Linked DNA regions of Saccharomyces cerevisiae S288C. The protein of the gene in region 1 interacts with the protein of each later gene in a pairwise test. Each region holds a gene or a part of one and is shown in the gene's direction. Other genes may lie near its edges. The genes, in order: CLP1 and GSP2.

The links.
Region 2: the proteins of CLP1 (region 1) and GSP2 interact in a two-hybrid assay, tested with the Saccharomyces cerevisiae proteins (one study listed by BioGRID).

Annotation. Positions count from the first base shown.
Region 1 is NC_001147.6:800,470-804,284, reverse strand, and holds CLP1 (cleavage polyadenylation factor subunit CLP1), read left to right. Parts: upstream 1-1,977; coding exon 1,978-3,315; downstream 3,316-3,815. Other genes in the region: TMA16 (Tma16p), read right to left, coding at 82-618; TUM1 (thiosulfate sulfurtransferase), read left to right, coding at 821-1,735; APC5 (anaphase promoting complex subunit 5), read left to right, coding at 3,554-3,815. UniProt on the Saccharomyces cerevisiae protein: Component of the cleavage factor IA (CF IA) complex, which is involved in the endonucleolytic cleavage during polyadenylation-dependent pre-mRNA 3'-end formation. Associates with HRB1/CF IB to form the cleavage factor I (CF I) complex.
Region 2 is NC_001147.6:680,807-684,194, reverse strand, and holds GSP2 (Ran GTPase GSP2), read left to right. Parts: upstream 1-2,088; coding exon 2,089-2,751; downstream 2,752-3,388. Other genes in the region: TUF1 (translation elongation factor Tu), read right to left, coding at 1-165; YOR186W (uncharacterized protein), read right to left, coding at 650-1,084. UniProt on the Saccharomyces cerevisiae protein: GTP-binding protein involved in nucleocytoplasmic transport. Required for the import of protein into the nucleus and also for RNA export. Not essential for cell viability.

The DNA of each region.
Region 1 (3,815 bases):
TTTTCTTTGCTTTTTCTACTATAATATACATAAAATTATATAAAGAGCATATAAACCATAAAGATTCCTCTGCGACACTTCTTATTCATTTCCTCCAACGACTTGTTCACCTTTATCATTAATTCTGATCAATCTTAGAGTATTCAAAAGGCCAAAAGTGCCATTCCAGTTTCTTAGAAATTCCATATTCTTCGCATCACTCAAGTCTGGACAGAGAAACCCCGCCTTAAATTCTTTTAACTCTTGATCCCTCCTTTGTTGCAGTAGCACTTGTCTATTGCTTGGTGGCCTGTTTGACCTCCTCTTCTTCTTGAGTTCGTCTAATTCCGTATCATCTCTTTCAATAAAACTTTGAATAAACTCTCTTGTGTGGGCGTGATCAAATATTGGTTGCCCTTTGAATGTATCAGAGTTAACTACATCCTGCATAAATTTTACCCGAGCTAGTTCGTGGACTCTTTTGTCTTGATGAAGCTTCTTTTTGGCTGCGATTTTATCTTCACGCATAGTAGCCCTGACCAGCTTTTCATACTTTCTACCCTTCGGATGAACCGTGATATTTTTCCCTTTCTTGGATAAGTTCTTTTGCAACTTAGATAAAGATTTAGTAACCGGCATGATTAGTTTGTCGTGGTAAGTCCTGTTCCGATACTTTTCTTCTTAGAAAGTACCTTTAAAGAGCTCATCTCTCATCTCGTCTATTAAACCATTTTAAAATTTTCGCTCGGGATGTTCAGCTGTGTACAATAATACAGCGTAAGTGCATTCAAACAATGAGGACAAAAGCATAAAGTTGTGAAGAAAATTGCCCATACATTCAATGCCATTATTTGATCTTATTTCTCCAAAAGCGTTTGTTAAGTTAGTGGCCAGTGAGAAGGTTCATAGAATCGTTCCAGTTGATGCAACATGGTACCTACCCAGTTGGAAGCTTGATAATAAAGTGGATTTCTTGACCAAACCACGTATACCAAACTCCATTTTCTTTGATATTGATGCAATCAGTGACAAAAAATCGCCCTATCCACATATGTTCCCTACAAAGAAGGTTTTTGACGACGCTATGAGTAATTTAGGAGTTCAAAAAGATGATATATTAGTGGTTTACGATCGTGTTGGTAACTTTAGCTCCCCTAGATGTGCTTGGACATTAGGAGTGATGGGACATCCTAAGGTGTACTTACTAAATAATTTCAACCAGTACAGAGAGTTTAAGTACCCTCTAGATTCCTCTAAGGTGGCAGCGTTTTCACCCTATCCAAAGAGTCATTATGAGTCCTCAGAAAGTTTCCAAGACAAGGAGATTGTAGACTATGAGGAAATGTTCCAATTGGTAAAGAGTGGGGAACTGGCTAAGAAATTCAATGCTTTCGATGCAAGGTCGCTCGGTAGATTCGAAGGTACAGAACCAGAGCCTCGTTCCGACATTCCATCGGGGCATATTCCAGGTACCCAACCATTACCATATGGAAGTTTACTTGATCCGGAGACCAAAACGTACCCAGAAGCTGGGGAGGCGATACACGCTACTTTGGAAAAGGCATTGAAAGACTTTCATTGCACTTTGGACCCAAGTAAACCAACTATTTGCTCTTGTGGAACTGGCGTTTCAGGAGTCATTATCAAGACAGCATTGGAGCTAGCAGGAGTTCCCAATGTTAGATTATATGATGGATCCTGGACCGAGTGGGTCTTGAAATCCGGGCCCGAGTGGATTGCTGAAAACAGAGATTAATAAGAGAAATATATTCTTGACAAGTCGATTTATTTAGCTACATATATTAATTATCTATCTACTTACTTAAAGGGCGATCTCCCTTTCTTTGTCTTATTTGTGCTCTTCATTGTTATTGCCCGGTAAAATAGAAAATAACAGCAAAAAATAAGACTGCTGGCAAAAATGAGCAGAGACCTTTCTATCGAGGGAAAAGAACAAACTATTAATTCTTTTCGAAATTCCAACACGATTAAACCATCATGGCAAGTCTACCTGGTATTGATGAGCATACTACCTCTGAAGAATTGATAACTGGTGATAACGAATGGCACAAGTTGGTTATTCCCAAGGGCAGTGATTGGCAAATTGATCTTAAAGCAGAGGGAAAACTGATAGTCAAGGTAAACTCGGGCATAGTTGAGATATTTGGCACCGAGTTGGCAGTAGATGATGAGTACACTTTTCAGAACTGGAAGTTTCCCATATACGCTGTCGAAGAAACAGAATTATTATGGAAATGTCCTGATTTAACTACGAATACAATAACTGTCAAGCCTAACCATACTATGAAATATATTTATAATCTACACTTCATGTTGGAGAAGATACGAATGTCTAACTTTGAAGGCCCTCGAGTGGTGATTGTTGGTGGTTCGCAAACCGGGAAGACTTCCCTATCGAGGACACTATGTTCTTACGCTTTGAAATTCAACGCTTACCAACCACTATACATCAATCTTGACCCTCAACAGCCCATTTTTACTGTTCCTGGATGCATATCTGCCACCCCAATATCAGATATACTTGATGCACAACTACCCACTTGGGGTCAGAGTCTCACTAGTGGTGCCACACTACTACATAATAAGCAGCCAATGGTGAAAAATTTTGGCCTGGAAAGGATTAATGAGAACAAAGATCTATACCTTGAGTGTATAAGCCAGTTAGGTCAAGTAGTAGGTCAAAGGTTACATTTGGATCCTCAAGTCAGGAGATCAGGGTGCATTGTCGATACGCCATCAATATCACAACTGGATGAAAATTTGGCTGAACTGCACCATATCATTGAGAAACTCAATGTTAACATTATGCTAGTACTATGTTCTGAAACGGATCCTCTTTGGGAGAAAGTAAAAAAGACATTTGGTCCAGAATTGGGAAATAATAATATTTTTTTCATTCCTAAATTGGATGGTGTATCCGCAGTTGATGATGTATACAAAAGATCCTTGCAGAGGACATCCATAAGAGAGTACTTTTACGGCTCTCTTGATACAGCCTTGAGTCCTTATGCTATTGGTGTTGATTATGAGGATTTAACTATTTGGAAACCTAGCAATGTTTTCGATAACGAGGTCGGTAGGGTGGAACTGTTCCCCGTCACTATAACTCCAAGTAACCTACAGCACGCTATTATAGCCATAACGTTCGCAGAAAGAAGGGCAGATCAGGCAACAGTAATAAAATCGCCTATTTTAGGATTCGCTTTGATTACAGAAGTTAATGAAAAAAGGCGTAAATTAAGGGTTTTACTACCTGTCCCAGGCCGACTTCCCAGCAAGGCGATGATTCTAACTTCATATAGATATTTAGAGTAAGTAAAATTATCTGTTCAAGAGCCTTATATCAAATCCATACAAATATCGTACTGTACTGTCGAAGTATTGTTTGGGTGATTTTTATTTTTAATTTTTCCAACGCTTATATATTAACAATATTGCCAATTTGTGTCTTTGACATTATTTGCGCTAGCTAAAAAACTGCTGCAGTTTCATCGAGGAATATAAAAAACGACGAGAGTTAAAAGGAAAAGGCAAATCAAAACTGATCAGAAAAATGAGTAAGTATGGTCCATTGGGTATTACTAACTTTATTACTCCGTACGATCTATGCATATTAATCCTAATACATGCTCACTGCTCACAAGATAATGGCATATCAGTGCCAACAGCAGTATTTCTTCGGTTAATATCCCCTACTAGACCTTCACTAGAATGGAATCCTCTGCTCAAGGATAATAGTAATTTAAGATCTTCATCTATTGTTCCTCCTCCTGTACTTCCTATTCTAGATAATATAATAAGGATACTGTTAGATG
Region 2 (3,388 bases), 120 kb from region 1:
GCCGATCGTACCTATATTTACATGCGGTTTGGAACGATCAAAAGCAGCTGCATAGGAAGTAGTAGTTTGAGAAAAGGTCCTAGAAATTACTGAAGAGAGCCTCAGAAGTTTCCCAGAAGCTTTAAAAGCTGTTCTTGTGAGTAATCTTGGTAATAAAGCTGACATTTTTGTCTGTTACCTTTGTCGAGCTAGAATAAAACTGAAAGCACAAAATAGTTTACAACAAAGAAGCTCAAATTTTTTCAGCTTAATCAGTTTCAAAGATAAAAATGACCAAAAATAGGAAAATCTGTAACCAGTTAGCAGCAAAAGGGAGGAAAGCCTGGTCGCGAAAGGATATATTGACTGAGGTCGGATGGGTGCTAAAACAAAATCCTTAAAAATATGAAAAATCAGCTCCAGCGCGGGTTAGTGGGAAACTGACCAATCAATGGGCAGCCTGTCAATTTCAATGCGGGTAACAGGGTTGTCAGTATAATAGACCCAACTTACTGCTTTATGTTTATGTATATGTATATATCAGAGACCTAATCGAGAATAGAGAAGTGCTCACATATTGCATAAATTGAAAAGTCCTCCAGAGGCGAAGTATATAAACTAAATGTTTTAAATGAGAAAAGCAGCTTCTTTTCCTTTCTTCCACGTAGTACTAAATCATGTCGGAAAGCGATAATTGCTTTTCTTCGTCGTCAATATTACTGGATGGCACAACTTCCGTGGCTTTGTTTTCATTTTCTCCAGGATATCGCGATGTTAGCACAAGCGTGATACAAAGTAGTAAGCAGGCGATGAAGAGACCAAATATGAACCAGGAAAAAGCCATACAGACCAGCTGCAACCTGAATTCTTCCGTCGTCAGATCGTGAGGAATATTTTTATCTTGGAATATGGACGCTGCGTCTTCTGGTCGCGAGTTACCCATTAATCCTAGCTTAATGCTGTTGCCGAAGGCTCGTATGGCGGACTTAAAGTAACCCTTCTCGAAAGGGTGATGCTCATCGCACAGTATCATGACTTTAGAATCTTCATTCGTGGACGAATTGTTTATCTTGGAAATAGCGAAGGTCGTAAAAGCCAAAGTCATCAATAAGATCTGTTACGTAGTATTTGAGAGAAGGAGTAAACTAACCTTGAATTGAGGTCTTGATTACAAGTTGCTTGCTTAGTGACACATTTGACAAGAAAAAACAGTAATACGCCAGAACATTTGCGGCCCCTTTTTATATCAAAAGTGCTAAACATGCTATTTAAGTATTTCTTTTGCTGTTGATACGCAATTTTCATTGCGCTGCTGCAGATGTGGTACCCTTTACCGCACAAAAATACTTCTATCTGGATATTATTCCGTGTACTTGGCGAAGAAGCCATCCCGTTTTGAACGCCATTGCCGCTAACCTCCGCGCTTTCGCTTGCAGCAATGGCTACATCCGCACGGTTCCGCTATTGCCACGACATTGTGGTGGTAATAGCCAAGGCAATGGTGTGTACAACTTACGATCCCTCTGCTTGCGGAAGCAGTCAAAAGGCAAGTGAGATCTACTCTATAAACTGACACTTTATCCAGGGAATTATCGAGAAAATTCTGTCTTGTCAATTAGAGAAGTAAGGGGCCACAGGGAAATAATACTTTCGAAGGGAGTTTCTTTCCTTAAGGAGGTGCAAAATGCAAAAGATATACAGTTTATAGGTTGATACACATAGAGCAAGTGGTCTCAAGTGGTCTTAATGAGTCACGGGAGGTCAAGATGCTCTTTTTTTCTTCATCGTTTCAGTTTTGTATCTTGAGCGGAGTGAACTTGCCCTTTAAGCGGGCCATACCCTTACATGGCGTTAGCACTTATTTTCAAGGTGAATATATACAATGTCAGTTACCCGTTTTTTTGTCTTCCGCTGTATAAGCTTGCTATCATTAAAAGCCGCATGTGGCATCCTGAATTCTGCCACCCCTTAAATACAAAAAATAGTGTAAATGGTACTTGATCTCTTCTGGAGGAATAAACAATAATTCTTGATGGAATTTGAGAGAAAGTAAGTGTTCGGCTAAGCACAATAAAGATATAAACCTGTGACTACCTATATAAGTTCGTAATGTCAGCACCTGCTCAAAACAATGCCGAGGTTCCCACTTTCAAGTTAGTTCTTGTTGGTGATGGAGGTACTGGTAAGACTACCTTTGTGAAGAGACATCTGACCGGTGAATTTGAAAAAAAATACATTGCAACTATCGGAGTAGAAGTTCATCCTCTATCTTTTTATACTAATTTCGGTGAAATTAAGTTCGATGTCTGGGATACCGCAGGCCAAGAAAAATTTGGCGGGTTAAGGGATGGTTATTACATCAATGCTCAATGTGCAATTATTATGTTCGATGTCACATCCAGAATCACTTACAAGAACGTCCCTAATTGGCATAGAGACTTAGTCCGTGTGTGTGAAAATATTCCCATAGTGCTATGTGGCAATAAAGTCGATGTCAAAGAGAGAAAGGTCAAGGCCAAGACTATCACTTTCCATAGAAAAAAGAACTTACAATATTATGACATTTCTGCAAAATCCAATTATAATTTTGAAAAGCCTTTCTTGTGGTTGGCTAGAAAACTTGCCGGTAACCCACAATTGGAGTTTGTTGCGTCTCCTGCATTGGCCCCACCTGAGGTGCAAGTTGACGAGCAACTAATGCACCAATACCAGCAAGAAATGGACCAAGCCACTGCTTTACCATTACCTGATGAAGACGATGCTGATTTATAAAAACATGAAAATTTATATACGAAAATATTCTGCTTCTTCTCACATCAATCTAAAAATTTTTTTTTGAAATTTCTTTTATTTTTAATATATAGTTCTGAAAGTCTATTTTTAAAGAATTAGTTCTTCTCTGTTTAATTGCCACATTGTAATTTTTTTTTGGTATGTTGAAGTTTAACCTGTACATTTCTTTTCTTTTAAATTGAATCAAAGACCAATAAACGGGATCCGATCACAATATGATCGTCCAATAACGCTCCCTCTTGCACTTCACTTACTACTTTATAAACCTAATTTTTATTTTTTACTAGATTCCTTTTTTCTTCCTGCTGGCGCTTTTTTTTTTTTGCCCGTCCAAAAGTTTTCAATGAAAAGTAATCCTCTTGAAAAGAGATACTTCTTTCGATTACAATAATGTTCTTATTCATATACAAATAGAATATCAGAAGATCGGAAACGAGTTAAGATAAAATATAAGAAGAGGAAAGTATTCCCAATTATGTTTTCATTTAATTGGTAGACGCGACAAAAAAAAGTATAATATATTGGGAGAGATAGTTCAGTCTCACCCACATTCTCTTTGCCCTGTGCCTCGCTCGGTTGTTAATTGCCAATATTACGATCTTGAGCTGGATGACAA